Linked DNA regions of Coturnix japonica. The protein of the gene in region 2 binds, or shares a complex with, the protein of the main gene of each other region. Links are inferred from orthologs where the notes say so. Each region holds a gene or a part of one and is shown on either strand. Other genes may lie near its edges.

What was found.
Region 1: GTF2E2 (region 2) and POLR2H share a complex: the UniProt entries of both Homo sapiens proteins name them as parts of the TBP-based Pol II pre-initiation complex. The link is inferred for Coturnix japonica from reciprocal best matches to the Homo sapiens genes GTF2E2 and POLR2H.

Annotation. Positions count from the first base shown.
Region 1 is NC_029524.1:13,963,151-13,966,565, reverse strand, and holds POLR2H (DNA-directed RNA polymerases I, II, and III subunit RPABC3), read left to right. Parts: upstream 1-1,462; 5' UTR 1,463-1,526; coding exon 1,527-1,599; intron 1,600-1,708; coding exon 1,709-1,792; intron 1,793-1,869; coding exon 1,870-1,963; intron 1,964-2,088; coding exon 2,089-2,172; intron 2,173-2,288; coding exon 2,289-2,406; 3' UTR 2,407-2,807; downstream 2,808-3,415. UniProt on the Homo sapiens protein: DNA-dependent RNA polymerase catalyzes the transcription of DNA into RNA using the four ribonucleoside triphosphates as substrates.
Region 2 is NC_029519.1:30,644,768-30,648,583, reverse strand, and holds part of GTF2E2 (transcription initiation factor IIE subunit beta), read right to left. Parts: intron 3,789-3,816; coding exon 3,697-3,788; intron 3,155-3,696; coding exon 3,047-3,154; intron 1,852-3,046; coding exon 1,669-1,851; intron 1,225-1,668; coding exon 1,131-1,224; intron 1-1,130. UniProt on the Homo sapiens protein: Recruits TFIIH to the initiation complex and stimulates the RNA polymerase II C-terminal domain kinase and DNA-dependent ATPase activities of TFIIH. Both TFIIH and TFIIE are required for promoter clearance by RNA polymerase.

The DNA.
Region 1 (3,415 bases), on a different chromosome or scaffold from region 2:
TGCGGTGCTAATGAGGGGATGATCGGGTGGGCTGTGATGTTGCTCCGTGCCACCTCCATCATCTCCTCCTTACCCACATGGGTAATTGGCAGCCTGGTGACAGACAGACTCATTAACAGCTTAATTTTGGCTCGCTCTCTTCCTGCCCAACCCCAGCCTTAGGGGGGCCGCTCAGTGGGGGGATGTCAGCGCTGCACCCCATAGCACCGCAACATGGGGATGGTGCCACCCCATAGCACCGCAACATGGGGATGGTGCCACCCCATTGCCCGATGCCAGCCAGCTTCTCCCCAGGTCTGTTTGCTCCATAACGGCGGTGCCGCGGCTCCTTTGTGCCCGCAGATAAGAGGGGCCGCGGCCGCCTCTGAAGCACCGCTCCCACCCCCGAGCCGGGCAGGCTTTGGGGAGAGGGCAGGGATTTAGGGTGCAGGATTTGGGGCTGCCCAACCACCCAGGTGCCGCCGTGGCTCTGCCACCTGCTCTGCCTCTGTGTGCAGACCCCATCCCCATCAGCCCTTCACTCCAAAGCCACGGCCCCATCTCCATCACCATCCCCCCCATCAGAGAGCACTGGAGGCTGTGTTGGCCCCCCAATGCTGCCCCACCGGATGGAGGCCTGGCCGCCGTTCAAAGCCGTGCTCATGTTGTATAATTTATCAGTGAAAGATAACAGCCCCACGGCTAAACCTCCCCACCCACACACAGCCCGGCACTGTGAGCAATGGGACTCCCAGCCTGGGGAGAGCCCACATGGAGGGACCCCCGGTGTGTCCTACTGTATGCTGGGATGCTTTGGGGTGCACCAAGGCAGAGCTGTGCCCCCCCCCCCCCCAAAATCCCTTCATATATCCCGGCGCACCGGGGGCTGCAGAGCACCTGGGGACGGTCTGTGGGATCCGTGCAGGTTGGGGGCGGGCTGAGGGCTGGTGCTGTGTGCTCTGAGCGGCACCAGGTGCCGGATGGGCTTGTTTGGCTCCAGATAAGGAGGAGACGGCGGCACCGGGCAGGTGCTATAGTGTGGGGGCTGCCCACCCCAACCTCGGCTCCTCGACCCCGGAGGTGCGGGGCCGCCAACCCGGGTCCCTCCGTGTCCCTCCGTGTCCCTCCGTGTCCCTCTGTACCAGCGCATCCCTCCGCTCACACAGCCCGGCCGCATTGAGCCCTTTGGGGAGGGGGCTGGCGGTAGGAGCTGGGTGTCACCGGGGATGTGACACGGAGGGAAGGTGACGCTGTGGGGTGTGACACGGGTGGGCTGTGGGGTGACGCTGCTGCCCCCCGCCCAGCTCCGAGCTCCGTCCCGCCGTGGATCTGCCCCGACCCACGCGGTTCGATCCGCGGCCGCGCAGCGCCCCCTACCGCCCCCTGCGCTGCAGTGCGCCCCCCCAGCCTGCAGGGGGCGCTGCCGGCGGCGCTAGGACCGCGCGGGCACCTCTGCCCGCCCACCACGAATGAGGTTTCCGGATGTGGAAACACGTCATCACCGTGCGCCGCAGCGGGAGCCGGCGCGGGAGCGAAGGGGCGCCGCCATGGCCGGCATTCTGTTCGAGGACATCTTCGATGTGAAGGACATCGACCCCGAGGGGAAGAAGTTCGACCGTGGTGAGATACGACCCCCCCGCTCCCCGCCCCTTCCTCCCACCCGGGGCTCCGAGGGCCGGGCCGGGTGCGGCGGGCCCTTCCCGTTGACGCCCCGTCCCGGCCCGCTCAGTGTCCCGGCTGCACTGCGAGAGCGAGTCGTTCAAGATGGATCTGATCCTGGACGTCAACATCCAGATCTACCCCGTGGATCTCGGTACGGGACGGGCGGGGAGGGGGGGGGGGGCAGCTCCGGCTGTGCGCTCTGAGCGCTGCTTTGTTATCGCCTCCCAGGGGACAAGTTCCGTCTGGTCATTGCCAGCACCCTGTATGAGGATGGGACGTTGGATGATGGGGAGTACAACCCCACTGATGACCGGCCCTCCAGGTAACGTGGCTCGCAGTGGTGGGAGAGACCCCTCCTACAAGGGGCCTCCTCGCAGAGGATGCTCTGTTAGGGGATGTGGGAAGGATGGTCTGACGCTTCTCTCAGCTCCCCTCATGTCATTGCAGGGCGGACCAGTTTGAGTACGTGATGTATGGCAAGGTGTACAGGATTGAGGGGGATGAGACGTCCACAGAGGCAGCCACACGCCTGTGAGTGGCTGTTGAGAAGGGGACGCGTTGCCTGAGGGTGGTGGGGAGGCAGCGTTATCTTGACTGGGTCTCCTATGGGTTTCCCTGCTCTCACTGCTCCTCTCCTCCTGCCCCAGCTCTGCTTATGTGTCCTATGGGGGGCTGCTCATGCGCCTTCAGGGAGACGCAAACAATCTGCATGGGTTTGAAGTGGACTCCAGAGTTTACCTGCTGATGAAGAAGTTGGCCTTCTAGGAGATGATGCACCTCAGAGGGCTGCCTGCCCCCAGAGACATTCTGTTGGAGAGCAGAAAGGACACCATCACCCCAAATCCTGCCCCAGCACCTTTGCTGCCCAGTCCCTCCAGTGGTGGTGGAGGAGGGGACTTTCCCCCTTTGTCATCCCAGTCTTTTCTGACTGTTTCCCTTCTGTGCAGGGGCTGATGCCTCATTCTCAGTGGAGACCGTGGGTGCTCTGTGGCCCTGCCTGCTGATCTCACCTTCCTGCACTTCAAAAGCAGGCTTAGCCCCAGCTCTAACCAGGGGCCGCTGGACTGGGGCACTCACCTGTCTGTGCTAGGGCTGGGCATCATTTTCTAAGGAGCTGTTCTGAGACAGATGTGGCTTCTTAATTAAACTGCTATGTGTTTTCTAGATGTGGTTGTTGTGGCAAGGTTGGCTTCCCAGAATGCCGGTTGGTAGATGAAGATGGGATGCTCATGGAGGATGTTGTGGTAGCAGACAGCAAAGGTACCACATCAGGGGCACTGGCTTTCAAGCTGCAGCTCCTGGAGGGGCTTGGCCTAGTCTGAGTGATGCTGTGTGACCCCAGAGCTCAGCACAGTGAAATTGGCAGGTGGATACTGGAAGGCAAGGGGCATTATTATCTCACATCCCCAGCTGAGCCCACCTGCCCTGCAGAGATGGCAGCCACCACAGGAGGGAGCTGGACACTGGGAAAATCAGGAGCGTTTGTTCCCCAGCTATTGCCTCCCCCAGAGACTGGTGTATGCTCCTTAGGCCAGTGCTACAGCAGGGGGAACAGGAAGACACAAACAATCCTTTAGAAAAATAGGTCTTTAATTGTAAAGCATTCACAGTCTGATAGGAGCAGGGCATGTGCCTCGTGCTGCACAGGTATGGCTGCTTTTGACCTCTGTGGGCCGTGTGATAGCCAAAGGCTTGTGGAAAAGGAGCCAACCCTTTCCCCGTGGCACCTTCCTGGGCATCCAGAGCACGGCTCCTTCTCCTGTGGGATTGCTCT
Region 2 (3,816 bases):
CATTTGGGAAGATACAAACTCCCCAATAAAGGCCGATTGAGGCTTACGATCCCTCATTTCATATACTGTTAAGACTCCCACTATAAAGAACCAAGAAATTACAGTTTAAAATAATATTTTGAAACTATCTTTATACTTTTAAATGCTGTAGGTGACATCTCCTAAATTATCTTTGCAGAAATAAGCTATTAAGTAAATGAGAATCCAAGGCTGGTATGGAACAAAGAAGCTGCTTGATTCTGTTTAAAATAAAGAGTTCCTCTGAGTTATTCTAAGACAAAAGAGCTTTACGTTTTGTTCTATGGCCTTGCACATACAGCTGTTTAAGGTCTGATGACAACTTTTTCCTTCTTTTACTATCATGTGACGCTTTGGAATATGGCTTCATGTGGCATGTTACGGAACAACAAGTGATCAACATGAAGTATTCAGCGTCCCTGAGCCATTTAAAATAAGGTCTGTTACCAGGGAATGCATTCTCCCTTCTGTACTTACAGATATCTGATATTGGCTCTGATGTCATCATTGCAACACACCCTGACAGGCGTAACTAATTTCTGTAAATACATATATTATTGTATAACCTGTCCTCTTGCTGCTTTCAGCCAACAGGCACACTCACGTCAGAGGACTTTACCACTATTTGTAAGATAAAAAATACAGGCTGAAGCTCTGGAGTTCCACTCCCAGCTCTAGACAGCAGCACCAGCCCACACTCAGGGTGCCCTCCCAGTCGTAAACCAACTCTTCCCAGTACTTTTGCTCACATCTCCTCCCAGTCTGCTTGTTCCTTTTCTTCAATTCCTGGTTCCTCATTGCATTCACCAACAAAAGTACATGACTAATAAATTGGGACAAAAAGCAGCACACAAACCCAAAAGAAATTCCACTGTTCTTCATCTGCTTTTCTGCAGCAAAATATTCGATGTCATCTAAGCCACAGATGGACAACTCTTAGTCTTTTCTGTTCAGCTACACTTGAATTGTAGGGTTCCTGGTGCCATGTACCAATGCATTCAGTAGAAAACAGAGGTTATTATCCCTGAACTCGTTTGCTAGTCCTGTTATCTTCACATTCAGCTGTCTAAGCTGAATTTAAACCATGGATGCAGATGTAAATAAACACTTACCATCGTCCACAGAGAAATGACAGCTCTTGTCATTGTAGTAAAGAAGTTGCCTCTTATCAGGGCGGGTAACAAAGAGAATTTGGTCCCCTAAAGCCTTTAAAACAAATGCAAAAAAAAAGGACCCCAAATCAGTTCTATTTTAAGAATAACAGACCCAGATCCTGTTCTACAAAGAGATCAATGAATCAGAGAGCAGCAAAATAACAAGCAACAAAATGCAACCAAAGTGGACACCATCAATAAATGCATTAATAAAGCAAAGACAAGATATAGAGGGCTGAGATCAAGATATGAAAGCACAATTAAGTGCCTTCAGTTGCAACATAGTAGATAAAGCACCTTTTGTAAGAAAGCTTTGACAGCTGTGCTGTCAGGTCAATTCTAAACATAAAGGCCGACGTACAGAAAAAGGTACTAAATCAGATCTTCTGAGTCACCACAAGAACAAAAAGAACTCAGAAAATTCTCTCTTAGCTTTTACCTCTCCTTTGAGAACCTATCCAAGAGTTTTGCTGAAGCCCAGACAAGAGTGACTCACCTTTATAGCTTTATGTGCATTGGGCAGCCCTTCCTCTATTTCTTCTAAAAAGATTCCTCCCAGCCCTTGCTGGTCATGCTTGTCCAGGAGCCTGAGCAGAGCCTTTTTATCTTTCAGGTTGTACTTGGGTTTGAAAGCAAACTTCCCATCTATAACTTCTATTTTTGGATTATTGACTAGAGCCTGTAATAGAAATATACATTTTAAACCTTGAAAGAGAGAACAAACTAGTACTTCAATAGCTACAGTATGTCAGCCATGTGTTATAGCTGACAGTTCGGAGGTTTGAATTTGAAACAAATTTTAAATCCTTGGATCTGAGATCCAGCCTGGGCATAACTCACTGCAACATACAGCACAACATTCTCATGGTGCTGCTTCAGAGTGAAGATGTCTCATGGACAATTGAAACGACTTAAGATCTGATCCAAATCAGTTTTTCTGTGCACGCGGTACCATCACGGATTACTGACGCAGTGATAATCTTATATAAGCTTTTTGGTTCAGTCTCAATATTCTAATTTGTTATGGAAACAACCTAGAGCTACTCTTCAAAGCTTTCAGTGGAGCCAAGTTTTCATGATAGCAGCATTGCCAGTTTTCTGTTCTCCAGAATATTAGTATTAATTAAAAACATAACTTAAAACATCCTAGTTTTACTACAGAGATTTCTCCACCCCCCTGCATGTATCAACAACCTTTACTACTTTGTTGCAAGGATTCTAAGTATAATATCAGCAAAACCAGATATTGCTGAAGTATAAATACTAAATACAGGGTTTTGTTGATTTACTAGTCTTGAAATGCCATGATGGCATTTGGATCAATTAAGCACGAAGATGAACACAGCAGGAAGTTGCAGTGACTCTGCAAGAATGAAACCTAACATAAATCATGAAACTGATGAACTCCAGCAGGGGAACTTTGAGATCTATTACCCCACAATTCCAGACACAGATTTCACAACAGAATTCTTCAATTCAGTAAACAACAAAGATCTGAGAGTATGAGTTTTAAGGCTTTCACTTAAGTAATTTGAAATCTTTGATAGTGATAGGGCTTTCTGCTTGAACTCTGTTTAGAAGAAATTTCTTTTAAAAAAAACAACAGTTTGCATGTATAAGATTAGCAATAAGAAGTTCACCTCAATTACAACTTACTCTTTGCTCTACTAACAGCAATTCTAATTGACCCTTTAAAAACGTCAGAATAGCTTTCATTTCAGTTATTTCAATAGCAGGAGGCACAAGACAAATCATGAATCAATGCAACTTCTCAAAAGCAGAACTTCAATATTTATAGAGTCTGTAATTAAATAAACATATACAGTTCAAGTTTATCACTATCCTCCAGTGTCCAATCAAAAGCTTTTCTTTACCTCATTCATTAACCACTGCTTCTGTTTGAGTCCAATATCTAAATGCTGTGTTTCATCCAAAATCTCTTCTAGAGTTAATGGATGCGTATCACCACGCTGGTGCCGAGTCTGGAAAACAAAGAGGATCTATCAGTGATCTGTAGTTCTTTATTCAGCAGCTCAATTACCACAGGGTAACAAAAAACTGGCAGAAGGTGATGACACAGTAATTTCTGTGAAACCAAGAGACACAGCACACGGAGCATATGAGTACCAACTTCGGGCCTCTAAAGATGTGAGAAAAATCAGTTTGTATCAGCTGAGATAAATGACAAAATTATCTGTCAAGCACCAAGTTACAAGTTATTTTGATAAACAGCTCATGAATCCTAAAAGCTGATAGCATCTTCAAATTCCAAGTTCTAATGCAAACAAAACCAGTCTCCTTTTTTTAAGCAGACCTGGAATAACTGGGATTCCAGTGATGAAGCAACATAATGGGCCTTTTGTTTACTCACAGCATTTTACATTTTAACAGCCCAGTTTCTTGAAATTCTTGGTCTTGTGCAGTAAATAAATCTCAAAGTCTGAAACATTCAGCATCATCTTACTATCACAGAGAAAAAATAAAGCATTTCCAAGCATTATACTTTTACATGAAACCACCATACCTTCATGTAATTCACTATTTTTGCAAGGACTCCAAACTTGTAGCCAGAGCTTCCTGAAAGGGCTTTCAAATTAAACGAGCCATTGCTGTGATCTACAAAAGGAGAAAATAAACACATAAA